Medicago truncatula: one gene and its partners. The protein of the gene in region 1 binds, or shares a complex with, the protein of each later gene. Links are inferred from orthologs where the notes say so. Each region holds a gene or a part of one and is shown in the gene's direction. Other genes may lie near its edges.

Evidence for each region.
Region 2: polycomb group protein EMBRYONIC FLOWER 2 (region 1) and VIN3-like protein 2 share a complex: the UniProt entries of both Arabidopsis thaliana proteins name them as parts of the plant homeodomain / polycomb repressive complex. The link is inferred for Medicago truncatula from reciprocal best matches to the Arabidopsis thaliana genes VRN2 and VEL1.
Region 3: polycomb group protein EMBRYONIC FLOWER 2 (region 1) and WD-40 repeat-containing protein MSI1 share a complex: the UniProt entries of both Arabidopsis thaliana proteins name them as parts of the plant homeodomain / polycomb repressive complex. The link is inferred for Medicago truncatula from reciprocal best matches to the Arabidopsis thaliana genes VRN2 and MSI1.
Region 4: polycomb group protein EMBRYONIC FLOWER 2 (region 1) and polycomb group protein FIE1 share a complex: the UniProt entries of both Arabidopsis thaliana proteins name them as parts of the plant homeodomain / polycomb repressive complex. The link is inferred for Medicago truncatula from reciprocal best matches to the Arabidopsis thaliana genes VRN2 and FIE.

What each region holds. Positions count from the first base shown.
Region 1 is NC_053046.1:4,146,252-4,153,573, reverse strand, and holds the start of polycomb group protein EMBRYONIC FLOWER 2, read left to right. Parts: upstream 1-4,300; 5' UTR 4,301-4,411; intron 4,412-4,546; 5' UTR 4,547-4,561; coding exon 4,562-4,687; intron 4,688-5,255; coding exon 5,256-5,311; intron 5,312-6,677; coding exon 6,678-6,742; intron 6,743-7,109; coding exon 7,110-7,162; intron 7,163-7,322. UniProt on the Arabidopsis thaliana protein: Polycomb group (PcG) protein. Plays a central role in vernalization by maintaining repressed the homeotic gene FLC, a floral repressor, after a cold treatment.
Region 2 is NC_053045.1:61,341,068-61,348,120, reverse strand, and holds the start of VIN3-like protein 2, read left to right. Parts: upstream 1-4,042; 5' UTR 4,043-4,328; exon of another isoform or gene 4,329-4,334; intron 4,335-4,432; 5' UTR 4,433-4,492; coding exon 4,493-4,517; intron 4,518-4,523; exon of another isoform or gene 4,524-4,619; intron 4,620-4,692; exon of another isoform or gene 4,693-5,785; coding exon of another isoform or gene 5,786-5,813; intron 5,814-6,221; coding exon 6,222-6,903; intron 6,904-7,053. UniProt on the Arabidopsis thaliana protein: Maybe involved in both the vernalization and photoperiod pathways by regulating gene expression. Binds preferentially to dimethylated histone H3 'Lys-9' (H3K9me2).
Region 3 is NC_053045.1:46,472,556-46,480,552, reverse strand, and holds the start of WD-40 repeat-containing protein MSI1, read left to right. Parts: upstream 1-4,978; 5' UTR 4,979-5,072; coding exon 5,073-5,744; intron 5,745-5,829; coding exon 5,830-5,982; intron 5,983-7,607; coding exon 7,608-7,732; intron 7,733-7,822; coding exon 7,823-7,918; intron 7,919-7,997. UniProt on the Arabidopsis thaliana protein: Core histone-binding subunit that may target chromatin assembly factors, chromatin remodeling factors and histone deacetylases to their histone substrates in a manner that is regulated by nucleosomal DNA.
Region 4 is NC_053042.1:9,567,019-9,574,091, forward strand, and holds the start of polycomb group protein FIE1, read left to right. Parts: upstream 1-4,059; 5' UTR 4,060-4,232; intron 4,233-6,180; 5' UTR 6,181-6,221; intron 6,222-6,603; exon of another isoform or gene 6,604-6,698; intron 6,699-7,073. Other genes in the region: protein phosphatase 2C 51, read left to right, coding at 1-138, 227-670, 1,018-1,123, 2,241-2,551. UniProt on the Arabidopsis thaliana protein: Polycomb group (PcG) protein. PcG proteins act by forming multiprotein complexes, which are required to maintain the transcriptionally repressive state of homeotic genes throughout development.

The sequences.
Region 1 (7,322 bases):
TGTTTTGTGTGGATTGAATCCACGAGTTTTCCCACAAACTTAGCTTTTGTGGCCAACTGAACCACATTACTTATAATTAAGGAGAAAAACAAGGACATATTCAAATCATGATTTTAATTTTTTTTTTTCTTTCTATAAGTCGTGATTTTAGGAGTCTTGGTGCAAGGTAATTAAGTTGTTGCCACGTGAGTACTTGAAACAACATCTTGTGTAAAAAGTGAACTTTAGTACACTAGAGTGTCTTTTATGTGTAACTTTCTTCTAATTATTTTAACTTTTGTTGCCTTTGTGTTTTCTCGTATTATTGAGTGTGTCGTCCTTGAGTATGTTGTAATTTCTTGAATCAAGATACTTAAGCAAAACTTGATTGGGTTCTTCAAAATTGTGTTTGATCAAATATATAATGCTAAAACCATGTGGATTGTTTGAATCTCTACACATGAGACTAACATAATCACAGCACTCATTGTGATTCTAGCAAAAACTATACTTCTATACATCGTATCTTTAACAAACTCATGGTGCAATCGTGATGTTGTTAAATTCACCACTCATCCAAACACATATATGGATGACTTGATGTATGTCATGTATATATATCAGAATATGACTTCCAATAATGTATTCTCTACTTCTCATGAAATTAATGATTCTGGCTGAAACCAAATGTGCTCGAATCTCTGTTTCATTTTCCATTTTTTTTTTGTTGAAAAAATAATTCAAAAAAATAAGAGATGCAAACAAATAATCTAGAGAATTCCTTCATGTTTTATTGGATACTATACTACATGAATTCAGACATTAAGTAGAATAGCTCTTGGATAAGATTGTTAATAGAACAACATCTGCATTAAGTAATTTTTGACCTGTGCTTCAGTGACATGCATGTGTGATTCACAACTTTCTTAATAGCATTTTTGACAGTATGTGGGATAAGATTAAGGTAAAGGAGTTAAGAAAGGATATTTGGATGCAATTGGGTTTGGGTGATAAGTTGGAAAGCTGTTAGTAAAATCACGTTCATAGATAGTTCCTTATTCTAAATTTTAAAGATGTCTACCATTGCAACTTACAAGCAAGAGTGATGGTGAATATAACACTTGTGTACTTCAGATAAATAAATAAAAATATCAAAAAGAAATTCCAAACTCAGATCAAGACTACCAAAATAACCTGATGCAAATAACAATCTGGCACCTTATAAATTATATGTTTCTCTTTCGTTGATAAGAAAAGCAAAAGAGAGTACAAGATTTGTCGAAGACTAAGTAAGTCATCATTCAACAAAATAAGCAAAGCTAAACAATAATAATAATTAGACTAACTAAGGAAAAACGCATCATGTGTTTCCAACTCCAAGTTTGATACTTATGTTTGGCTGGCTATAACCAACCACAACTATAGTGGAGTACTTGGCAATGAGACGAGACTGTTAGTGTGAAGCCATACCTTAATATCACCCACAACAATGTTGTCAATCTTTGTTAGTCGTTTGATCTTGACATTGTAACTAAAATGCATGGTTTCCCTACTTGTTACAGATGTATTTCTTCTTTTCAATAGAGATACTCGAAGGATAATTTGATGGTTGATCCAGAAACAAAACACCACACACAGAATATGAATCTCATGGCCGCAAGCAGTCGGAAAATCAAAAGGTCCCATCTCATGATAAAGAGACCATTTTCCTAACTCAAAATCCAAAACATAGATTTGAAATGTTCTACAAAATGCATCATTATTCACAATGCAAGAAAGGTGATTTCCCATCCCTAAAAATATGGCTTAATTGCACTTTTGGCCCCCTATCTTTCCAAAAGTTGTGATTTTGGTCCCCTAACTAGTTAAAATACAAAACAACCTCATATGTATTGGATCTTTGTCAGTTTTGGCCCCCAAGGCCACTTTTGACTTAGTCTTCGCTGACGTGGCACCCACAATGGTCGACATGTGACACCTCACTTAAGGGATGTGTGTGCCACGTCAGCGAAGACTAAGTCAAAAGTGGCCTTGGGGGCCAAAACTGTCAAAGATCCAATACATAGGGGGCTGTTTTGTATTTTAATTAGTTAGGGGTCCAAAATCGCAACTTTTGAAAAGATAGGGGGCCAAAAATGCAATTAAACTTAAAAATATTGCATCTGAATTAAGACCCATCAACACAGGGGGAAGTGGAAGTAAATACTGTCCTACAATATTTTCCTTCTCAACATCCATCATTGTTATTCCCTCTATAGTTATCCAGTAAAGATAATTGTCTCCATTATACTCCATTCCTTTTCTTTTGATGTTTTAGTTCTTGACACAAGTTTTAAGGAGTAATTAAAGTATATAAATATTTGTGTATTTTTTACTTAAATGTCCTTATTTATCATTAAATTCACATGTGATAAACCAAAGGTCACAACTACTTTAATAGTTTATTGTGTTTTCCAACAAGGGTAAACTTAAGAAAACAATAACAAATTCACTAAAACATCAAAAGTTTTGGAATATAGTTAAAGTTCTAAAACATCAAAAGAAAAGGAATGGAGCGAGTAATTTATAAAGTAGTTTCCAACAAAAAAACCATTCACGAGGAGCTTCTTTTCAAGCTATCTCTTTCCATGAGCTATCTACTCCAATTCTAAGCACATAGAATACATACCAATAAGCACCCGAAACCACTAGGATATCTACAAAAAAACAGCTTGAATTCAATAGAGTGAGGAACACGTGCTATAGTTACTTGACACTTAAGTTCCGATCGTTTCAGTGAAATCGGTAAAGAAGGAATTTTGAGCCAACACTTGAGGATGGGGTTCACGATGAAAATCTAGGACCATGACAAAGTAGCAATATTCCATCACAAGTATCGACAATGTTTCCCATTTTTTGAGGTGTTCCCATGTTAGACCTTTCAAATTCAAATAGACTATTCACATCATCTTTAATATCCAAGAAATAATAATTATTTTGATGCTTGCAATTTTCAACATATAGACCAGGTTTTGAATGTGCACGATGTAGGCACGCTTCGGCAAACAGGGAGCTGCGAATAGTAGTAGCCCAAGATTTGCAAACATACCTTGCAGAGTTAAGCAGACATTTAACAGGGAGAAAACTAAGGATATCAAACACCAAGTCTTCAGGGATTAACAACTTTGAAATCACTTTACAACTCTTACCACTATAGGAATTTTGCTTCATATTCTTAATGGAATGATCCTCATGTGACTTAGAGTTTGACTCAGAGAAACTGTACTTCTTTATGGATTTATATCTTCCCATTATCAATTAATCAAATTAAACTTGTCCTGCTTCAATCACTGCATAACATATCGGCCCAAACAAACATCACATTAGTTAAATCATCAATAATATGAAAAGTATACTATGTATAGAATCTGAAACTACAATGCTCTAACGATAATCACTTATACTTTTTCAGAGGGATTGGAATTTTAAAGAATAATAATATACACTTGCATAGTTTGGATTTTCTATATGCTGCAAGAGTTTTAGAATCTTGCTCAACCAAAAGATGAATTCATATGAAACATGCCACATTTTTCGAAAGTGTAAGACAAAAACTAAAATAGAAACTTACATAATAAAATCATTAACTCTCTTGTACGATGAAAATAACTCAATGGGATCTATGCAAAACATTTGAGTGAATGTGTTGCTCAAGTATATGCAAGCACATGCATGATGCATATTTTAAACTGATATATTTTTAATTAATTATAGCAGAGTTTTATATATTGTAAATTAATCTTTTACTATATGTTACTACTATTTAGCAGTGTATAGTTAAACAATGAGAAGAGAAGAGATTAAACATAATGCATGGATATAACTTGGACAAAAACTGACATGAACATAAACCAACTATTAGGGACAACAAAAAAGAAAGTTTTTAGTTTTTGCAACTAAAATCAAAATTCTTTATATTTTTTAAAATCACAAACTTATTTAACCCTCCTTCAAAAAAGAAAATAACACTTACTTAACCCCTAAAATATTTCAAAATTTAAATTGAAACTTGTTATTTAACAGAGTATAAATTTGCAATTCGCATACAACAACTAGAAGAAGAAGAAGCCAGCATCGATAAAATAAAAAAACCGTTTAGTGAAAAAAATCGAGAGTTAAAGGAAAGGAAAACTTAACATACCTATAAATAGGTATGTTTTTTGCGGGTGGGCTTGGGCTCAAAGCCCATGAGCTTTTTTCCCCTTCTTATACAGGTGCGTTAGAAGTAAATTAGAGGGGTGCAAATAACAATCCTCATCTTTTCCTCTTATATTAAGATGGGCCCATTATTATCGGGCCCAATACAGTGTGTAATGAACTACGTTGACGGTGCCATGCTCTTCCCTTCTCCGCCAGATCGACCAAGAACTTCTTCGCATTTTCTCTCTTCTCTGTAAGTCTTCCTCTCTCATGAATTTCTTTGTTTTCAGCTGCAATATTCGTTTAACCTAATTGTGTTTCAGCTCATTACTTCAATTGCGTGTAACAATGTATGTTTAATTGAAGTTGATTTTGTGTTTGTTTGTAGGTTGAAGAATTCAACATGTGCCGGCAAAATTCACCGGTGCATAATTCCGGTGAAGAAGAAATTACAGCTGATGAAAGTCTTTTGATTTATTGCAAACCTGTTGAATTCTACAATATTCTCTATCGTCGTTCTCTTCACAATGTATAATATTACTATTACTTCCTAATCAGTATATGATTGTTTCAACTTTTAATTAAGCTCCATAATATTCATTTATTGTTTTTTTGCTATTTTTTCTGTGTTTTGGTTGTTTAAATATTGGTAATTTATAATTTTATGATTAAGGGATTAGAAATTGTGCTATGATTTGAACTTAATGCCGAGATGAGATGTTGACTGATTTTTTTGATATTTAAACTTTTTTTTTTTTTTTTTTTTTTTTTATATCGTTGGGGCGTGTCCCCATGCAGAAAACGTAAGATTAATATCTGCCTGCCCGGGGGGCCAAGTAAAGTCTGGCCAACACATTTTTGAACTCTGCGGGAATCGAACCTGGGAGTACTAGGTCGTTTCCCCGAGTCTAGGGCAGGTTACTCCACTGAGCCGAGCGGTGTTGGTTGATATTAAACATGTGAAGTGGTTTTTATGCGATTCTACATTTGAAAGTTGCTCTTAAAAATTGAAATTAGCATACATGTCAAAATTTTATGTTTTTTTTAATATAAAAGATATGTTGATTGATACCATTTGGAATTCATTTCTCTTGCAGCCTACTTTTCTTAAGAGATGTTTGCGCTATAAAATAAAAGCAAAGCAAAAAAGGAGGTAAATATTCCTTTGAATTGTTATATACATGTATTATAGTTATTTCATCTAGTTTTTAGTTTCATCATTCAATTTGTTGAAGTACACTACTCTTTATACCATTTCCTTACTCTTAAATTGTTGATTCAACATGATTTTTAAGAGTTATACTAATAGAAATTAATTATTTGGGGATACATGAATAGTAATCATCTATCTACTTTTTTTGGTAATAGGAGAATCGATACAGAAAAAAAGGAATTTGATTTGTGAGGATTGAGAATCCGACAGTAAGAGAAATAAATGCTACAAACGAAAACTATTTAAATACCGACAAAACTTAATTACAGTTCCTTATGTTCTCGCCAATAAACTAAGTATACGTGTCATGTATTATCTTTTAAAAAAAAAAAAAAACCCCCGCAAGTTGTATTTGCAGAATCATCACTGCTTCGTTTCCTTGTACCATTGTATGAAAATTTTAATTTAGACTTGGCTGACTTGCAATGAATACCAACCCTTGATGGAAAAGAAAAAGTAAATGTGATGCTGCAGAACTAGGAAGTGTGTGAAAACTCTCTCTGTTCCCCACCATTTCTTTGACTATAGACCAGCAAACGTACGATAGAGGACGACTTGCTGAAGTGAAGACTTCGATCTGAGTGGCAGTCTGGGAAGTTGATTTGGGGGGGGGGGGGGGGAGGGGGAGGGGGAGGGTGGTGGTAATTTGGGACTCTGCGAGAAAATGACACCGTTTCTGTTTTTCGATTCCGGCACGAAATGTGAAATTTCGATTCACCATTCACGGGAGGTGTAGGTTCCCCTTGTTAGAGGGAAATCACAGTACACGTGTCCGTAATTTATTGGCGAACAACAGTAATAGGACCTTAGGCGCCGTACTTAAGATTTGTTCATTAAATAGTTCACAATTTATTAGTTGAAAAGAGAAACTAGCCTCTTTGCATATCGAATAAAGATTTACCCATTTTCAGATATCTATCTTATGTAATATGCAATGCTTCATTAGGGGTTGTAACTGGTAAGGTGAAGTTTTGAGTCTAGATGCCGAAAAGAAGTAAATGTCTCATTGAAGAAAGATGTTAACAGTAGGACAAGAAGTAAACAGTAAATTATTTGGCTATTTTATTTTAATTACGAAACTCTAGACTAAAAGTTGCATTTTGTCCCTAGTCTCAAATACTGTCCAAGTAATTCTTTAGCATACCATGATGTCTATTCTTCATCAGCTGATGATTTTTGCATTCTTGCCTGAATAACAATTAAGAAAGAAATTGTTTTGCTATGCTTTATCCTTGCGTTTCTTGTTGATTGTATTTATTGTTTGCCTTATTGGGTGGCAATTGTTTGATGGCTTTCTGTTTTGAAGGTTGCGAGCAGGAATTGTGGTTTTCAACTATAGGGACTGTTACAATGCGCTTCGAAAGACTGAAGGTACAGCATATTATCATATTGTCACCAGCTATGTTCAACATTACATCTTACCACTACCTTCCTATAATAAGTACAATTTTTAAGAGCAATCAAACTAGTAAACAATTTGGTAATGTTTTTATTTTCGATTCCGACTTCCTTCCATAGATGCTTATGGCTGATAGTTTTCAAGTGCAGAACTTCATCTGCCTTTAATTTGGACAGATATGATTTTGTAAACGTTACTCTTTTGAGCTGGCATTTTTTAATGCTTTTTTTTTGGGTGGTCTGTCATGTTATTCTCTTTTTTTGTGATGGTTTCTTATTAAAAAAAAAAAAAAAACAATTTTGACCGTACTGATACATTTCTGTTTCTTTCCAAATGTAGTGACTGAAGACTTTTCTTGTCCATTTTGCTTGATGCAGTGTGCGAGCTTTAAGGTATATGCTGTGATTTGAACTTCAGTAATTGCTTTTTTCATTCATAATTTGATAATTTGGGAGGTTGTTGTCTTGTCTCTTTTTTCTTTGTTAGAAGCTAAGAGAAAACTTCAAAAACTGTTTTTCATGGAAATCTATTGAATTTCAGTATTTTATATAC
Region 2 (7,053 bases), on another chromosome or scaffold:
TGCATAACTCGCTTCTCCTCGTGATCCAGCAATAGTATCAGGTTCAACAAAGGTTTGATCGCCTCTTGGTGTAGAAAGTCTTCCTAGGAAGGTGTTCAGTTGACGTGTCACGTTGGTGCAATAACAAGTGGTACAAGTATAAATGCAAGTATGTGTGGGTTAAAAAGCTTTTGTTTGAGGCATAATATTGAGACACGATATGAGTATGAGAATATTCGCATTTAGTTAAGAGTAACAAATAAGGTGTACATTATACTTTAACTCCAAAACCCTGAGACATTGGATTTACCGATCTTTCTACTTATAAAATGTTTAACCTCCACTTTTCTAAGCAATGTGTAACTTCTGGCTTACACTCGCTACACAACATTTAATGAATTGATGGACTCACACTTGAGGGAAGATTGTTGTGTAAAGAACGTGAGTTGGAAGTTCTGCATATTGCTTATAAAAATGAAAGTTGAACACTTTATTTATTAACGTGGTGACTCATAAACTTATTGCCCTAAGATTTTAGTTAAATATTTGGTGTCCAACTCATTTGTATGATTGTTCTGGGTCTAATATGGATGGTCTCTCAAGTTCCAACCTCCTCTCATGACCTAACAATAAACACAGAGAGATTAATATCATCGTTGTTGGAGAAAACTGCATAGCATAAAATATGTTAGATAATCAAATATTTACATTTTTTTATTGGATTATATATATATCTTAACCTTTTTTAAGAGTTGAAGAAAGCAAGCGTAAATTATTAATAATTTTTTTTTTTTTTTAAGAAGCTAAGTCAACAAATCTTATTATTATACTATGTCGTGTGTGCAATACAAGCTAAGCCAACAAATGTGTAGGAAATGAGTGGCATGAGATTTTTTTGACGCAGTGAGTGGCATGAGATGGGAAAGCATCGATTCGTATATGCAAAGACCATAATTTATTGTTTTTGTCAAAACTATAAGATATAAAAAAAAACTCAATGTCTTACATGCAATATTAGTTAGTGGGGCAGCTATCTAAATTGACCATGTTGTCCCCACAGTCGATTCCAATCTTACATGCGTGTGTCCCTGCCATAGGGCCATATCAACAAAGTTTTAACAGACTCTATTATCCAATCGTTAGCCACCAATCGATCATAAATGGACAAATGAAATTAAGTTTTTTTTTTTTTTTTGTAATAATATACATTGCAAAATTTGTTAAAAAAATATATATTCTATTGCAAAATTTTGATAAAAGTGTGAATACGAACAAAATTTTAGAAGATAAGAGATTTATAAAAAAAGAAAAGAAATGAATGGAGTTATAGTAATAGCCGTCGTACTTTTTTACAAAACACACATAAGAGATAGCCGTTGTATTCCATTTTTTCTAAACGTAAAACCGCCGTACTCCTTTCTTCCTCACACAAATTTTAAATCCGCCCCCGTCATCATGTAGATCAAATGGATGGTGGTGCGACGAGGGTCACTGTCCTCCGCACCACCGTACCTTTCCGACGTGCGGTTGCTCTCTATCGTCGTAAAGGTTGGTTTGTATTTTTGATGTTTTTTATTTGTTTCGTTTGGCTGAGACGTTGGTGGGTTTTGTGGTGTGTCGTTGGATGCTTGTCTGTGGTTGTTTGGTTTTCGTGGGTCTCAAACTATTTGATTTGTTTTCTCTCTTGGTTGTGGTGGAGGTTATGTTTGCTCGCAACATAGGTGGTGACAGATCGGTCACGATGGTGGTGATGAATCATATCTAGATTCGCTTATGAACTTATATGGTTTCGATGGATCTTTGGTTGTATTGGTTTGTGGTACTTCATGATGGTTTTCTTGGTGGTGTTGATTTTGGGTCTTTTGTGGCGGGGGCTCGTGGTGGTTTTTGGTGGTGATGCTTGTGGTGGTTTTAGGTGTGCTGCGCGTGGTGGCTGGTGTTGCTTTTAGGTGAGGGTTAATGGTGATTTTTGTGGTGGTCAATGGTAGTTTTGGTGAAGGTGGTGGTAATGGTGTTGATTTTTGTGGTTATGTTTGTGGTGGTTTTTGGTGATGGTACAAGGATTTTTGGTTAGCTTTTGCGGTTGTTTACGAGGTGTGTTTTGGATGAAGGTGCTTAGGAGAGCTCATGGTGGTGTTTGGGGTTTTTTTTCCCGGCTGTTTTCAAAGGTTGTTGGTTGTGGTGTAGGTTTTTAAGTTGATGTTCAGGGGTTGTGTGCGAGCAGCGGAATGTGGGTGTGGTAGAAGTTGTTTTTGTGGCAGTTGTGACGATGCTTGAGGATTTTGTTTATGTTGTTTTGTTGATCGTGATGTTAGCTTTGTTTTGGTGTTTCTATTTATTGATTTCGGAGATAGCCCTTTGTTAGGAGGTGTTTCCTATAGGTTTTTGGATTTTTATTTATTTTCACGGGTGTATGGATTTTCCATTGGGGGTTTCCATCATCCTTTGTTTATTGTTACTGTAAGACTCCTAGCCTAACATTCCTTGTGCCGGTTAAGATTAATTGCTATATTAACAAATTCCATTTTAGCTTATTTTAAAAAATAATATATATATATATATTAATTACGAGAAAAAGACTTCATTCACCTGAATGAAATCTTATCATGCAAAAGACATTACCACACACACACAGCCACACTAACTCAGATTTTTGTGATGTATGGATTTATGATACAGGTTATTGAATGGACCTGATATGATATGGTGTATGTGCCAGTAGATAATGAAAAGAATAAAGGGCTATTTTAGTAATTTAATATATTATACTATCCTAATTTCTTACCGAAATATTCGACTATAAAAAATGTTGAATTGAAAGTCAGTGAGCATCGCAACAATAAATCGGCAATAACGCCATTATTTTAGATCTAAACGTTTACGTAAAGATTTCCTTCTTCACATTTTTTCACATTATCTTTGTCCTTTTAACTAATTTTGTATATGAATTTTTTGAGGGAATTAATTTTGTATATGAATTTTAAGATTTAATATTTGATTTTGATACGAGCTTTCGGTGTTTAAATCAGTGGTTCTCTTTGTTGAAAATTCATATACAAAAGACTAAAATAAAAAAAATGCAATAAATAAATATAAAAGACAAGATCGTTGTTTAAAATTAAGACAAGTGACTAGAAGTTTATTTTTTTTTCTAAAATTGATTTTTGATATTTTTAGACAGAGAAAAGTTAATTCATCTATAGTAAAGAGTCAAAATTAAGTGAAAGATTAATTTGTCCTCCTAAGTTGTAAGGTGTGTGTTTGGTTTGCAAAAGAGTAAGTACTGGATAGAACATATCAGTACAAAACAGAACATCACAACATAAGGCATAACAACACAGAACAAATTTTTATGGTATTGAATAATTTTTTGTTTTGTATGATTTTTGAGGGACGAAATACTATTTTGATGTTTTAGACAACTTGTACGTGGGACAAAAAAGTTGTGCTGTGGTTTGGTGAGGGACAAAAATTTCAGTTTTTGTCATGTTCCTTGCCTCCAGTTTATCCTGTCTCTGAAACAGTTTTGCAAATCAAACACTAAACAGCTGAAGTTATTATGTCTTGTCCTTCATTTTTTAACAAATCAAACGCACACCAATATTGTTAAATTGAAACACGTTTACTCATGTTTAAACATAACACATTGCACTTGTGTCGTAAATTTAGTTGTATTTGTCAATTTATCTAAAGAATCACTTATCACAAGTTTGCGAAAAATCTAAATTTGATTCCATAACCAATCTTAAGTGAAATGATAGCTATATTTTATTGGTTTAAACTAACGTGGGGCATATACATTGGAAATGGAACCGACATAAAGTAATTGGACATATTGATTTTACTCAATAAAATAGTGAGCCTCAAAAGAGAGTATTATTAGCCTTCCTCCTCAAGTGGTTCCTAAATTGTCATATAATATTAATATCTATGCAACTCAAACACATTTCCTTCAAAATAATTTTTTTTACATCTTATTTAAGCTATTTCAACCTTTTATTTGCTATCTATTTTGCCGCATCATGATTTATTCAATGAAGAAATGTTCATATCATCGTTTAGTTTTAGATACATTGTAGATGTTGAAAGCGTCACAAAAATTGAGCCGAAAAATTTGTGAGAGATATTAAAGCGCTCTCTCTCTCTCTCCTTCCACCTATCTAAAACGCTTTCTCTTTCTAGACTAGAAGCAAAGTAAGTACATCAACAACTTTCTCCTCGAATCTCCCTCTATCACATACAGAGGAGAGAGAGAGAGAGAGAGTGTGCGCGCGTCACCATTTTTTTCAGTTACTGAGTGATTCCGTTTTCTTCTTCTTCTTCTTCTTCAACAATTGAAAGCATCTTTTTTTTAGGTAATTGTCATTTCAATCTTTCTCTATCAATCACTCTTAATTTTCTTTCCTTATACGGCGATTCATGACGTGGATTGGATTTATTTATTTAACTTTTGTTTAGGTTCGATGAATTTTGTTGATAATGTGATGTGATTCATTCATTCTCGTTCTTAGTTATGGCTACCGATTCGTCTTCCCAAGGTAACACACACGCTTCCATCACTTGCTTATTTTATCTCTCTAATTTTCTTCAATTTTTCATGTATTCTTATATCTCACTTTCTTCGTTATATTCAAACTGAGGTGATTCAATTATCTCAATGATTGATTAGATTCGTTATAATCTCTGTTGTGCTTTATAATCTCATGTGATTTAACGATGATTAATCTCTATCATATCATGTTTTAGCATTGCCATCGGTCATGTACCTCATTTTTCTGTAGTTTCGTGGTCCATATGATATCATGATTTAGCATTGTGATTTGTGACATATCTGATTTCTATGTGGATTGATTTACTTTTTGTGGTCTCTTCATCATCAAGATTTTGCATGTCAACGCTTCCGATGATATTGCGGTAATTTTGCATGACTTGTATTTAACTGCAATTTTCCGTTACATGTCCGCAATTGCGTTACTTGAGGTTGATGTATTTAACTGCTCTTTTCCGCAATAAAAATGATCTCAACACGACAAGGATTGGATTTGTTATCCGTGTTATGCTTTACTATTTCGTGTGATTTAACATTATGCTTTTTTACCAATTTATTTTTTATGACAAGAAACCGATTTTCTTTGTTGTTTAATTTATTTGTTGTGGCATCTTCTCGAGTTTTTCTGAGGCTTGACATGTCAAGGTTTTTTTTATATCTACGTGTCCAAAATTGCGTTAAATGTGGCTGCTACACGACAAGGGTTGGATTCGTTATCTGTGTTATGCTTTAATATCTCGCGTGATTTAATTGTGGATTGATTTATTTGCCATGTCATCTTTCTCATGGTTTTTCGAGGCATGACACGTCAAGGTTTTTTATGTCTATGCGTCCACAATTGCATTAATTCTGGGTGCATCAGTTGTATCTAACCGCAATTTTCTGCAATACAAGGATCACAACACGACAACGGTGTAAAACCTTGTTTTCCATGCGTGTCCTTCCTGAATGTTGGGTTCTGATTAGCTTTGATTTTTTTTCCTTCAGAAAAAAGAATGAACTTTAATGAGAGAGGTGTTTCACTATTTTATTTGATTTAATTGTAATTTATTTTATTTATCTTTTGCTGATTCTGCCTTTTTTGGCTTAAAATCTATGCTATATATAGCCTTTTATTCCCGAGCTTTTGGTGTGAACTGCATTTAGGGGCCGGGCAGTTCAATATTTTATTAATGCATTTTGATTAAAAAAGGAGTCTTGATTGAAGTAGGCTTATCATTTGATATGCGATGTGCCAACAACTAAATAAGCAGGTCCATGAAGGTGCTTATAAAAGTCAAAGGAAGTTAAGTCCAATTACCTAATTGGCTGACTTGATTAGTCCATTGCGTTTACACTGAGCTATCCAATATTCCTAGATTCCATTCTGCATCAAGTGGTTGGGATGTCCTTGTGATGCAAGTTCAACCAGTTACAGTTTTATATGTTATGTTTCTTGTTCTTGTTTTCTTGGTTATATTATATGCAATCAATATGTTAGTTCATTAAAAAATGCATTATAGTTTCTTCTATAAAATCCATTATTTCTGCGTATAATTTCTTGATGATGACATGTCTAGCATGAGTACAAATTGTAGCAGAAGTCTTTGTTGAAATAGTCTTGTTTCCTTCAGCACTTGGAAGTTTTAAAATTGGAATGCTCTCATCTATATAATAATATGCTAATATTTGTTTTCTTTTTCCTTGATCTTAGCAGTTGCTCTTGATCCTTCTAAATTTAGTAAATTGAGTATGGAGGAAAAAAGAGAGCTTGTATATGAAATATCTAAATCGTCTCATGATGGTGCATCTGAGATACTACAGTCATGGAGCCGTCAAGAGATTTTACAAATATTGTGTGCTGAGATGGGAAAAGAAAGGAAGTATACTGGGCTGACAAAGGTGAAAATTATCGAAAATCTTCTGAAAATTGTTTCCGAAAAGAAATCAAGTGGCCATGATATTGCCACCGACCCTGAACCACATTCTTTTCCTGAAAATGGTCAGAAACCTGCTAAAAGGCAGAGAAAAATTGAGAATCCATCTCGGTTAGCTGTTCCTGAAAACAATGTTTTTGTCAATAACAGTGGCGATGTGAATCATAATACCTCATACTGCAAAAACTCAGCATGCAAGGCTACGCTAAATCAAGGAGATGCATTTTGCAAAAGGTGTTCATGTTGTATTTGTCATCAATATGACGACAACAAAGACCCTAGCCTGTGGTTAATATGCAGCTCTGAAGCTCCATTTCCTGGTGTTTCTTGCGGCTTGTCATGCCACCTTGAGTGTGCTTTAAAACATGATGGTTCTGGAATTGGCAAAGATGGCAAACGCCCCAAACATGATGGAGGCTTCTACTGTGTCTCTTGTGGGAAAGTAAATGATTTACTCGGGTAAATTTTATATTCTTCTTTTTATTCTTTTTCCCTATATTTCTGTCTTGTCTTGGTCTTATAGTGTTTTCTACAATGGAAACTTTGTGTAAATGCAAATTATTGATATTATTAGGATTCAAGATGATTATATCTATTTATATGTTGCTT
Region 3 (7,997 bases), on another chromosome or scaffold:
GAAGTAGTCGTCTAAAATTTTAGCAACGGATTTATTGAATGACTAACAAGAAATATAAGTATTGAAAATAACAATGAGAACAAGTTAAGATGACTTATAAGGATTGAAAACATTAGATTTCATTACTAAAAATACCGACTTTTAAATAAAAATTAATTATAATATACTCTAACTGATAACATAAATATACAACATAACAATATGACCTATAAACTTAACAACAAACATCCACATAAGCATCTTTTAATTAAACTTGATAAAAAGAGGGCAACAATGAATATATTTTATAATTTAATGGATTAAGCTGTATATTTATAGTGACTAAAATCATATTTAACCTTTAAATATATAAAAAGTGGGTGCATATACGATTTAGGTTAAGGGAAACTAGTGATTATTCTCTATTTATTATGGTTGATTTAATTTCCTTATCATCTTTATGCTCCAACAAAATTATTCTTTCTTTCTTAATGTTTATGTGGGCACTTTTTTACGGTGGAGGAGGACAATTCGGTAAGGGAGCGCTACATGATAGAATAATGGAGGAGAAAAGGAAATTGATGATGGAGGAGGAGATGAAAGTTTGCGGGTCAAATCAGCTTAGTCATGGTTAGCAAGTGCGATATAATATTCGGATTCCTTTAAGACTAATATTCTTTAATAACCAATATGAATAGAACTTACCAAGTAAAATATCAGTAGGTCCGAAGAATCTTTCGCCAACTTCAACGCCATGACCACTCATATAAAACATTAAGGAATTACTTTTTTGTGTTTGACTTATTAAATTTGATAACTTGGTCAATATTTCAGTAGTCTCAAGATAGTACCTGAGTGAGTTCCAATAATTTGCATCGTCCCTCGTGATATGGATATTTTCGTCAATAAATATACATATCATCAAAATATCTTTCATATTGGCACGATGTCAAGAGAGCGTTATTCAAACATGTTTTGATTATTGATAAGAGTATAAAAATATATGAGCAATTTTCAAAAACTACTAGAACATCATATTATAAGAATTCCAATATCTTAACAAATTTCCCTCACAACATTGTTGTAGCTAAAGGAAGACATCGTGTTTATGTCTTTGCAGATGTTACTGTGATTGAGCATATGTCTTTTTTTGCAAGACCAACTACATTAGAGTCAACTTCCCAAGTTCTAGGTATTCCTCTATTAAAAATATTTGTCATTACTCACATACCTCCATAGTCACACTCTGTTTCTGAGTTACAATATTATGGTATTATTATGAACGTCAATGTGTTCTAGTTTCAATGGAAATGTGGTGAGTTCGGCCATAAAATATGTATAATCTAACTAAGAATGATTTCACTCGAGAAACGAATTTGAATTTTCTTGAACAATTGATCCTACTGTATAGCTCATTAACCACTCGAGTCCGATTAATTGGTTACTGTTTTCAACATTTTCAGTTTCAGTACCATAATAATTGTTCAGATTCAATAGTGTGTTTCCTTGGGGGTTCGACCATGAGGTATGTATAATGTGACTAAGCGTTATTTCGCTCGATAATCGAATTTGAAATTTCTTGAATGATTGATCCTGCGATATAGCTCCTCAACATTTTAAATAGAGTGTGTTACCCTAATATAAGCATATTTTTGCTTTATTTTTCTTTAAGGGTAGAGGAAGCATATTTTTGCTTTATTTTTCTTTAAGGGTAGAGGGAGATTGTTATTCTCACCACATTGAACTTTCCGAAAGAAGTGTTTGTTCTAGTGACTTACATTCGCTTACTGTCTTTCCATAACCTACAGAACAACATAAACAAATAAAATACTTAAATAAGTACACAAGCATTTATCTTAAAAGATAGACAAAACTTTTAAAAAAAGGTAAGTAAAAACCTGTTGAGATATTAAGTTTAAAGTTTTTTTGTTTGTTACACAAGTATGGGAAAAGACCCCTGAAGAAAAAGTTTGGGAAAAAAGTTTTTTTTAAAGGTAAATAAAACTTGATAATCTTAATACAACAAACATAAGTGTCTTATTAACCGATCAGTTAAGTAACTAAAAGTATAAAGAAAAGTCAAATTTTACATTAAAAAGAACAGGGGCATTACACACCTTAATATCTTTTTTGAGTCAAGGATAAGAAAAAAAATATAAATTTTCAAGTTCGAGGGCATTTTGCACATAAGTGCAAAACTTCAGGGGGTATTTGCAAAACGTCAAGTTGACTAACAGAAGAATTTGACGGAAGGGGTAAATTGATTAACGTTGTGCAATTTCAGGGGGGTAATTGAAGTTTTGTTAATGTCAGAGGATAATTGACGAAACTTACAATTTCAGAGAGGTAATTGTCTATTTACTCAAATAATTACTAAATTAATTGAATAAAAAATCAACAACAATAAAGAAGATATTTGCCATTCAAAAAACAAAATGAAAGAGATATTTGAGTTCATACCTTTTGATGAGAAGTTATTAGATATAAGCATATATAAATAAAAAATGAAAGAGATATTTGAGTTCAACCTGCAAACGACGAATAAAAACATCTCAAATAGAGTAAAATCATAGATAAATAAAATATGAAAGGTGATCAAACAATTCATGTTTGTATACTAATTTGATTGTCTTATTGCACCAAAAATAAAGGTAAATATATATGTCATTCTTCAATTAGTGACTATATTTGTGATTGGTCCTTGAATTCAATCAAACAATATTAATTCTTAGTTACATTTTTCGAAACAATAGTAACTACCAAACATTGTTTCCTCACATGTGATCAACATATCCAAAACCATACATAACATAACATGTAATAACAAAGATATTCACACAAGCTGAAATTCAACTAATATTTATAAAAATATTCACATATCTCTTGTTCGCTTTGAAAGGACGGCACATTTTAAATCTTTCATAGAAAATCTTTTAAAGGAGAAAGTTGTGTGTATGGTATTCTATAAAATAAAAATATAGGAATTGTTTGAAAAATATAAAAGGTAATGTGAAATGTCAACATATCACAAATACATGACTATGCAGTACGAGTGATTAAAACTAACCTTATAGCATGCCAATTTTATGAAAGTACCAACTTTTAAGATCAAACAGTACAATACCAACATATGGTATCCTTTAAAAGATTCCTCTTCACATTATCATAAAAACATTAGTTGGCCAACCTTGTAGAGAAATGCGTGTATTTGGTATTTTAAAAAATACATGTAAATGAATAGTTAGGAAAATATAAAAGGTAATGTGAAGTTCCAACATATCACCAATTCATGACTATGTAGTAAGAGTGATTAAAACCAACCTTGTAGCATGTCAATGTTCCTCATAACATGTCAATGTTCTTAAAGTACAAATTTTTAAAATTAAATAATAGTGTCTGCAGGGTGTACACTACAATGGGGGCTATTTAATGTTGTGTTAAATAAGCGAAGCACCTACCGTTGTGGACGATCTTAGTCGATGAATTTTACAAATAGGAAACCATGTTTCTTAATGTGTAAGTCGTAAGGCATACACATACACGCTCTAGTCATTATTAGGATAAATACCTTTTTTCGTCCCTGTAATATTAGCGAATTCTGGTTTTAGTCCCTGTAAATAAAAAGATTTAGATTTTGTCCCTGTAATTTCATATTCTTCCACTTTTGGTCCCTCCTTTCATCACGTCAACAAAATCTGCATCAATTGCGTCCCTGTAATTTCAGATTCCTCCCACTTTTGGTCTCTGTAATTTCATATTCCTCCACTTTTGGTCCCTCATTTTACATGCCATGTATGCAGATTCTGCTGACGTGGTGGAATGAGGGACCAAAAGTGGAAGAATATGAAATTACAGGGACAAAATCTAAATCTTTTTTTTACAGGGATTAAAATCGGAATTCACTAATATTACATGGACGAAAAGAGGTATTTACCCTCATTTTTATTAGCAAAAATCCACATTTTAAATTTATCTAATAAATGATTTATGTTATTATATAGATCACATACATTGCATATTGAATCAATCTAAAAGATGAATTTCTACTTATAATAGTGACCAAATGAGGTACACAAGTTTAGATTGGTTTATCAGAAAATAAAATTAGAAGGTATAACAATGACATTAAATTAAATGTATGGATAACATCTTCGTGGAAGTGTTACTTAGACACAAACCCAAATAAAATTATTCAAGCACACATTCATAAATAAAAATATTAAGAAACAATAATATGGTCACATTTATTAATTATTTTTTCATTTAATTATTTTCAATTGTGAATGTGTGCTCAGATAAATTTTATTTGGGTACGTGCTCATGTAGATTTATCCTAACATCTTTAAATGAACGTCACGTCACATCATTGTCACTCAATACCTTTTACCACTTACTAAGAAACATTTGAAACAATTTTTTCTTTTCATGTAACAAAAAATTTGTCAATAAAAGTTGACTCGTAAGAAGTTGATTTTTCCATAAGGTCGTGAGTTGAACTTTTAATTTTAGAGTGAGAACCAAATATCTGATGAATGATAATGTTCATTAATCCTTAAGACCTATCCTAACTCTCGTAAGTCCCCAGAGATCAACTCACCTAAATTTTTATTCACAAAAAATTTGTAAATTTGTGTATCCATTTTTTTTTTCTAAGCATCAATATATACAAATTCAATTCTTCTCTTTCATGGGTGGTCTCATTTAGTCATACTTTGAGAGAAGGGAACGAATGTGCTGACTGGTTGATTAAATTTGGTGCAACTAATACTGACTCCTTGAAGATGTGGACTTCTCCTCCATCTCAATTGGATATCATCATGCTTGCGGATACCTCTGGGGTATTTAGGCAGCGGATTGACTAGTTTGGTTTTCTTGTCTTTTAATTTCCTCTTCATCAAAAAAAATATATACAAATTCAATTTAATTTTCTATTATTTTTATTAAATGATAATCCAATTTAATTAATAAAAATACGGCAAAGGGGTAAGTGAAGAAGTGAGGGAAGTAGTGGGATAGAGAAGGGGTTAGTGAGTGTTTATATTTCTCCCTCGAAAAAACAACATCACATTTGAGAGTTAGGGTTTTGAAAGTGGATGGGGAAAGAAGACGAAGAAATGAGAGGCGAAATAGAAGAACGAATAATCAACGAAGAATACAAAATCTGGAAGAAAAACAGTCCCTTCCTCTACGATCTCGTCATCACTCACGCTCTCGAATGGCCATCTCTCACCGTCGAATGGCTTCCAGATCGCACTGAACCCTCCGGCAAAGACTACTCCGTCCAAAAACTCATCCTCGGGACCCACACTTCCGAAAATGAACCCAATTATCTCATGCTCGCTCAAGTTCAACTCCCTCTCGACGACTCCGAAAACGACGCCCGTCATTACGATGACGATCGTCCTGAAGTTGGAGGGTTTGGTTGTGCCAATGGGAAGGTTCAGATAATTCAACAGATTAATCATGATGGTGAGGTTAATAGAGCGAGGTATATGCCTCAGAATAGTTTTGTGATTGCTACTAAGACGGTTAGTGCTGAGGTTTATGTTTTTGATTATAGTAAACATCCTTCTAAGCCTCCAATTGATGGAAGTTGTAACCCTGATTTGAGGTTAAGAGGTCATAATACTGAAGGGTATGGTTTGTCTTGGAGTAAGTTTAAACAAGGACATTTGCTTAGTGGTTCTGATGATGCTCAGATTTGTTTGTGGGATATTAATGGTACTCCTAAGAATAAGTCTCTTGATGCTCATCAGATTTTTAAGGTATTCTTATTGGGTTTTCTACTTAATTTTGTTGTTTTTTGTTGCTTGGTTTGTTGTTGATGATTTTGTGTTATTGTTTGTTTAGGTTCATGAAGGTGTTGTGGAAGACGTGGCTTGGCATTTGAGGCATGAGTATTTGTTTGGTTCTGTTGGGGATGATCAGTATTTGCTTGTATGGGATCTAAGGACACCGTCTGTTACTAAGCCTGTTCAGTCTTGCATTGCTCATTCTAGCGAGGTGTGTTGCTTAATCTATTTAAATATATGAGTTTGTTTTGATTATAAGCTCTTTTACATTTGGTTTTTTCAAGGAAGTATAATTAGTTTAGGGTTTAGTTTTGTGAGAATATGCGTTTGTTTGTTGTGAATTTTTGTTGCATATTCTTTGATTTGTGTTAAAATATATTTAATCTAGGACAATTGTTTTTGGCTTGAAAGTAGCAACCTATTTTGTGGAAATTAGTGCGAGGGATTGGTGAATCTGTCAAAATGAGCATGGCCTGGGGATAACGTGCTAGGTGGAAAGATACGGCGAAGTATAACATGCACCATTCGAACTGGGTGGTTGAAATGGAGCAGGGCCTCCAATGCTTTATGTGATGCAAATGTAGGAAGGCCTAGGAGTTTGTTTTGGATAATAAGCTCTTTTACATTTGGGTTTTCAAGGAAGTATAATTAGTTCAGGGTTTGGTTTTGTGGGAATATGCATTTGTTTGATGTGAGTTTTTGTTGCATATTCTCTGATTTGTGTAAAAATAGATTTAATCTAGATAATTGTTTGTGGCTTGAAGTAGCAACTATTTTGTGGAAATTAGTGTGAGGGATTGGTGAATCCGTCAAAATGAACATGGCATGGGGATATCATGTTAAGTGGACAGATACAGGGAAGTTAAACACAAACCATTCAAGCTGGGTGGTTGAAATGGAATAGGGCCTCAAGTATTTTATGTGATGCGAAAGTACTGCTCAAGTTGATGGGAAAATTTCATTGGACGACTCTAAGAACCAATATGAAAATAAATTAAGCGTGGCGGAGATAGGGATGTTGTGTTGGATGTGTGGTACACTAGACAAGATAGGATTGGAAATGACAACATTTGAGAGAGAGCTGGGGAAGCACCTATAGTACAAAAGATAGTGGAAACTAGGCTTAGGTGGTTTGGGCATGTAGAAAGAAGACATGTGGATTCCATCGTAAGGACAATAGATCAGATGGAGGAGAATTACTAGAGGTAGAAGAAGGCCTATAAAAGGCATAAAAAACTATTGAAGAAAAATCTTGAGATTAATAAGTTGGATAGAAAAATATTGGTTATTGTTGTTTAGATATGAATTATGATGTGCTGTTGTAAGAGGGAATTTGAAACATGGACTTATATTTTGTGATTATTCTAAAATTATCAATTTATTACTGTTCAATCTTCATTATATCTTTTGAAATTTATGAGTTTTTGAGAATGTTTGACCCAACCCATCAAAACATAGTGATATTAGACCTAAAGGTTCAACGTTGTGTTGAAAGACTTCATTCGGGGTGGGTGATAATTGAAAACTAAACACGGATAATGCATAAATTTTTAATCACGGTCAATATTTGAGAACTGGCCGAGACTCCACTCTGCAGTTGTACAGTGGCCATATTTCACATATCTGGCTTCTCATATTTTCCTTGCTGATATAATTTCCTGTCTTTACTCAGATTTTCAATCTGTTGGCTTCTTATAATGTCTTCTCCGTTGTGCTCTAATTCGACTTTATCTTTTAGCAGTGTTCTAGAGTTTTCACAATGCTGATATTACTCTCAATATATATCACTTCTAATAACACTTTTCTTTATATAATAATGACATTGGATCTTGTTAGGTTAACTGCTTGGCTTTCAATCCCTTCAATGAATGGATAGTTGCTACTGGTTCTACTGACAAAACAGTGAAACTGTGGGATCTGCGCAAGATCGGCAATGTTCTTCACACCTTTGATTGCCATAAGTAACATTCTCCTTAGTTGTTTCTATATTTACTCTAGATGTAATTATATTTAATAGATATTAATCTGGATTGTTGTTTTCGGGTTAACAGGGAGGAGGTTTTCCAGGTTGGCTGGAATCCAAAGAATGAGACTGTCTTGGCTTCTTGTTGTCTTGGTAGGAGACTGATGGTGTGGGATCTTAGCAGGTATTGCTTAATGAAAGCATCACCATATCTGGACTTTTTAGTGAATTTTTTATTTGTTTCCCTGAAATGTTTACTGAGT
Region 4 (7,073 bases), on another chromosome or scaffold:
GGAAATGGCTCCGATGACGGTGATCTGAAAACGGAGAATGCGCGACGAGAGATTCATGAATCTGTTGAGATATCGTTGTCGTTAGCAACTTCATCATCATCTGAGGAAGATGATCAGCTGTCCAAGCAAAACGGAGAGGTACACTGTTGTTGTTGTTAGCTTATTATACACGGAAAATCCTTGAGGACAGTGCGTCTCATATTATTTCATTGTTTATTATTTGCAGGTGAAGCATTATCAACAACAACAGCGACCTCTATCGTATGGTTCGGTGTCAACCATAGGCTGTAGGAAGGAAATGGAGGATGCGGTGAGTATGGAGATAGGTTTTACGATGAAGGATGGAGAGAAGTGTGATTTCTTCGGTGTTTATGATGGTCACGGTGGTGCTCAGGTGGCGGTGTCGTGTAGAGAGAGGTTGTATAGGATTGTGGCGGAGGAGGTTGAGATGTTTTGGGAGGATAGGGAATGGGATTGGGAGAGGGTGATGGAAGGGTGTTTTGGTAAAATGGATAGGGAGGTGGCGGGTGATGCCACGGTTAGGACCGTGGGATCCACGGCTGTTGTGGCGGTTGTTGTTAAAGAGGAGATTGTTGTTGCGAATTGTGGTGATTCTAGAGCCGTTTTGGGACGAGGTGGTGAAGTCGTGGAGTTGTCTTCTGATCATAAGGTACTGTAGTACTATATTTGATTTTCTTAATATATTTGATAGTACTAATTTCTAGGCAGTATACAACTAGATAGATAATTGGATGCTCTCATCATGTGCTTGATTTCTGACTGATGTGTATGAAAAACATATATAGTCACACCGAGATTGCAGCAAATTGCAATATCTATACATTGTTGCATCTAGATTCTAGAGTCAATTATTTGGATTTTGATTATTATTGAGATTTGAGATCTTGTACTATATTTAGATTTAGATGATTTAAAGTAGATAAATTTTTTCATTCCAAAGAAAACTATTGTATGATAATGAATGAAGGTAATATTGATTTCCTTGTTTGTACACAGCCAAACAGGCCTGATGAGTTGATGAGAATAGAAGAAGCTGGTGGAAGAGTCATAAACTGGAATGGCCACCGTGTTCTTGGTGTTCTTGCAACTTCACGATCTATAGGTTTGTATGAAATTTTAACTTCACAAATACTTAGATTTCTAGCTTATGATAATGTTGGTTAATCCATTTTTTTTTAGATTATTTATATTTTCTACTTTGTTATATGCATGTATTTTCTTTGATCAGCCATTTTTAAAATAGCAGAGTAACTTTGACAAAAAAAAAAGTAAAGTTTGATCATATGCGTGATTGCTTTTAAATTTTTAACCAATCAAGATGACACATTGCTTAAATTCTCTGATAAAGAAGAATCTATAATAGAATGTGATTCTTTTTTATACAAAACAAGTTTGCCACATGTTTTGCGTATATGATTTTCAATCTTAATACTATTGGGAAAGTGTCTCATTATTTAAATCTTTGAAGATTATTGGACGGAAATAAATTATTACATATGAATCTTGACCTGTTCTTAATACTTGTGTGTATGGTCAAACACGTGGAAATTTTCAATAATACAAGAATATTTGTTGTATAAACACGTTGATTTCAAAGAGGTTAAGGAATCCTTCTACTATCAAATTACATGGAAAACTGTAAATCCCACATAATCAATTAATCAAAGTTTGGGTGTAAATTAGTTGAGCAGTAGTTGAGCTATATATTGTAAACTTATTACAGAATGTTCTAACTTTTAGGTTATGAGGCAAAAAAAAGAAGTTCAAAATCCATCAATAAATTGAGCTTGATATTTTTACTTACTTTTGGAAAATTGTGTTTGTAGACCTATATCCTTTAACACCCATGAGAGAGATAGAAATAGAGTATGCGTTGTGATTAAATGTGATAAGTATGTGATGTGATAAGAAGTGAGACGGAGAAAAAATGAGGTGTTGAATAAGTGTTGAAAAATTAAAAGTGTTTAAATATAATGGTTGTTAAGAAATATGCATGTCAAGCTTTAGTTTTAAGCTTAGTTTTATTGTAGTCAACCTAAACATTTATTAATTTTTAACAAGTCATGAAGCACGAGTTTTTAGCTAAGCTCGATTAAATCATTTATAAATAACTGATAAAATCGATTACATATATATTTTGTCAAATAGAATTAGTAAACTAATGATTATTGTTAAGAACCAATTTGATATGTTCTAACTACGAAATTTGATGCATGCAGGAGATCAATATCTTCGACCATATGTAATATCAAAACCTGAAGTCACCGTGACAAAACGAACCAATGAAGATGAATTTCTCATACTAGCAAGTGATGGCTTGTGGGGTGTAATGTCTAGTGAAATTGCATGCCAAGTTGTAAGAAAATGTTTCAAAGGCCAAATTAGGAGAGTTTGTCATGGGAATGAGAATCAAAGTAATCGTGCTGCTGAAGCTGCAACACTATTATCTGAGATAGCATTGGCAAAGGGTAGCAGAGACAATACAAGTGTCATAGTTGTTGACCTAAGAGGAACATTAAAATCTAGTTGACAATTGATGACTTTATTAGTTTTAAATCAAGGGGGTGCACCCTCTGTGCCAAGATATTATCAAGTACATAGTAATGATAATTAATTAGTGTGAGAAATACAATCTCTAACACGCTTTTTTATCCGTCAAAAAAAAAACACGCTCTTTTAAGATATGTTCAATGTTATCGATTAATTGAAATTTAAGTGAGTTTGATCTCGCTCGAAGTAAATTTCATTATATTAGAAACAATGACAAACATATGAGTTGGTGGTTATTGAATATTATCGTGTATGTTTGAAAGAGTGTTTTTTTTTTTTTTTTAAAGTATATCGTGACATTTTTTCAAGATTATTGATATGAGAATTGTGTGAGAATTAAAATTGAATGATAGTATATAGTGGTATCTAATTTTGAAAAAGTGGTCTAAGGATCAATCTTTTGCAAAGTTAACAGTTTAGATCTTCATATTTCATGACTGGAATAAACTTGTTGTGAGCATTTTTCTTTTAATTACTATACATCACACCTTGCAAATGTTTTACCTCTCTTGTTGCTACAAAAATGAAATTAGAACTTCATTAGCTATTAGCTAAGGTTAATTCAAAATCAAAATAGAAATTTTATAAGGGTTTCAAATCATTGGATTCACCTTTAAATATATGTACATAAACATCTCCTCCATCCATTCACATAAGAACTCAATCCCTTCAACCTAACATCTCGCATAAATTTCTTAAACGAGACCTACTAATCAACTATCAATAACTTTATATTATTACATATAAATTTTTTAATATTAAAAAGGTGTGGGTCCCACTTAAGAAAGAGGGTCTTAAGTGTGACCCGGGTTTTATAAGACCTCGAAAAGTTCCTCCCCAATGGAGTATCTAATAGGCACTCACTAGATCATAAAAGGTTAAGACCCTCCCATTGGAGATGGTCTTAGAGGGAAGTTTCGGGCAACCACAAGAAAACACAAATGATATCTGAGACAATATGTCACATGAGATTATAATAGTAGCAAAAAATACGCCGGGAGAATCAATAGCTTTTGGATCCAAGGTTAAAAAACCTTGATGGTGGAGAAAAATATTCAAAGTAAAGTTAAAATAAAAAGAGAATGTCATAAAGATTGATCTAGGTGTAAAAATATCAAAACTTGGAAAAATTATAAGAGTTAAGAAAAAAGACAAAAAAAAAAAACGATAAGCGAAGCAAAAACCTAAGCTTTTGAAGGGTTATACCAATCCTTATGCACCAAGGAGGGAGAAAAAAAATTACCAAACAATTTAACTTTAATTTTAAAGCTCTAAATTTGACTTTATAGCACTAAAACAAAAAAAAAAATTAAACATAAATAATTTAGTAAAACGCAAGTGATTTTAGCAAAATAAGAAACACTTCTATTAAAGAAGTGAAAGTTGAAGATAATTGACATGAAAGTTTCACTTAAAACGTAAATTATTGAATTTAAATCGAGATAATTGAATTCAAATCCAAAACTCACATGTTTTTATATGACATGAAAGTACCACTTAAATTGAAGAAGGGAAAATCATATTGAATTACCATAGAAGAACAATTTATCACTTACATAAGAAAATTTGAGACCATATGAAACCCTAATAACTAATTTGGTCTCACTCAGTCCTCAACTGTCATCCCTCACCAGCTCACCCACTCTTTCTCGCCGGCCACCGTAAGCTTCTCACTTTTCCAGGCTTTCATTTTCATGTTTCACTTTCAGAGTTGTTTTTTTTCTTCTCACTTACGATATTGTATTGTATTGTATTGTAAAGTTTCCATTTTTGTAACAATCTCATTGTTTCCTTATTCATATATTCTGAAATGAATATTTATATTTTCATTTTCTTCTCTTAAATTATGGTTACTATTTCGAAATTGTTCATCATTTGCACATTTCATTTGAGATTTCGTTTTTCTTGTCACTGAATTTATGAGAGAGTATTTTCATTTTCTCAGCTTTGGTTGCACGCTAAGTGTTTGATCAAATGCCAATTTGGTGGAAAAACTTTTTTTTTCTTGTAAGTTAGATGCTAAAAGACATGGGTTGTGTTTGGTTAAAACACTTAATTTGAATTTGCAGCTTCTTATAGCATAAGCATTTATCATATAAGTGCTTATGAATAAACTATCTGCCTGTTTTGATTGGCTTATTTTAGCTTATATACTAGCATAATGTTTGTGAGACTGTTTGAGTGAACTTATGAAAAAACCTTATGTTTATAAACTCCAACATAGTTTGCGCAAAATAGTTTAACATTATTTTAACTTTTGTTATAGAAATAGCTTATACATGAGTGTTTATTATGATAAGCACTTATGCTATAAGATGACAATTAAGTTGTTTATCAAACAAGGCTTATTTCTGTTACACAAAATAAATAAAGTCAAATTGTTTTTTGTATAAGATATAAGCTTTTTTATTCAGCTATATTGGAGATTTTATGGAAATAAGCTTAAAATAGCTTACGAGCATGTCATAAGCTCTCCCAAACAGTCTCACAAATGCCTATGCTAGTAGATAAGCTCAAATAAGCAAATTCAAATAAGCCCTTATTAAGTGTTTGCTTCGGCAGTCATTTCAGTTTCACCGCGTGTTTTGGCAAGATGCTACAATTAATGGCTATAGTTTCACTGCATGTTTAGAAGAGGCTACTTTGATTTCAAACAACCACTTAGAGTCAGTTTCTTTCAATAAACCTTTCTAAAAGCACTTATGTAAGAAGGAATATTAAGAGAATCTTATGATAATCATGAGTTCATCAATGCCTTATGTGGAAGAGGTCTAATATCCAATCAGTTCTGAGAATATAATAGGAATGGAAGCTGGAAGTGATTTTTTCCCTTTGAATCCCGATAGTGAAAAAGATTTCTAAAACCTATTTGGGAAACCTTGATATGTTTTGAATGAGTAGGAAGATCATTGTGCAATGGATTCAAAAGGACTTTGTTTACTATTAATTTGCTCCTTACATTGTCTTATTTTCCATGTATCATTTGGAATTGGATTTGAATTTGTTGTTAAATTGTTATTGAACTTGGTCAATGCCAACTGTCATTTTGGATTAGGTATTAGTGGTTTTTTTTATTATATTTTTTTCTCCTTGCATATTTTCTACTTTTTGATATTTGTTTTACATTATCTAGACTAGATGAGATTGGCGTGTTCGCTCCGTAAATCAGTGACTTGGCCAAATAATTACTGCGAGTAAAATGTTAGATACAATGTCCGTAAGGCCTTGCAGTTGTGTGTGTGAGTTTTATGTGGTATTTGCCACTTCGTTTACGGACCAAAAATAAATGTTAGATACAACTGTCCATACTGGCTAGCTCATGACCTATCACGTTTTGCCACTAGCATGACTCCCCCAATCTAGTCCTTTGAGTGATATGGCTTTTTTGACTCTATCTGAAATTTCAAAGATTAAATGGGTTAGGGATTGGCCCAATCAATGATGGGCCGTCCCCCGTTGAACCGACATTAAAATATACATATATCTTTCTCTCCCGCCGTTGCTAAACTCATTGGGAGCTTTTGTGTACTCTTCTCCATTGGCATTGGTCTCGTTTCATATATATTCTCCAATCTAGATCTAATTCCTTGATTTCTTCTCCCGTTTTAGGTGATTGTCATTCTCTTGTTGAATCTGTTTTTCACGGAGTGGTAAGGTTTTTCCCTTTTCACGGTATTTTTCGTTTTTTATTGTTTGAATGTGTATATCTGATTTTTGCACATGCTTCCTTAATTGGATCTATTGTATCATTATTTTCGATCTGTTTCTTTCCGTGCTACCCCTAATTTTCATATGCTTTGCTGTATTTCTACTTTTTTATGTACTTGACGGAGTAACTTGAGGAATTTGAAAGATGCAATGCAATATATTTCTTGATTGACATTTTTGACTGGGAGATTGTTTAACTAATAACTTCATGCAGAAATTTAATGGGATTATAATATCTCATTTGTTTTCTTTTGTATTGTCAAGTCAAGTAGTTTACTTGTTATTATCATGTTCTCATGGCTAGCAATTCAGCTGGTAGCTTTTTATTTGGCTGTCAACTACTACAGTTTCTGAGATTTTAGATTCTTGAGATTTTCATATCTGCAGATTACTTATTTTACCGCGTGTATTCTTCTCAGGTCCAGTACTTAATGCTCCTTAATCCAAAGCAAATATAAAAACGCTGAATAGCTGCTTCTTGTCCATGTTGTTTGTGCAGTTTCTGCATATATTTGTTATGCAAAATGATATCCACCGATAATTTGTTATGCAAAATGATATCCACCGATAATAAGTGGAAAATAGGCAAAAAAATACGAGTACATTATTTTATGTCATGTCAATGAACATGTTAGCGGACATTTTTATTTCCCAATGAAGTTTATCTAAAATTAAGCGTAGCAGAGATGAGGATGTTGTGTTGGATGAGTGATAAGACTAGACAGGATATGATTAGAAATGACACCATTAGAGAGAGAGTTGGGGTAGCACCTATAGTAGAAAAGATGGTAAAA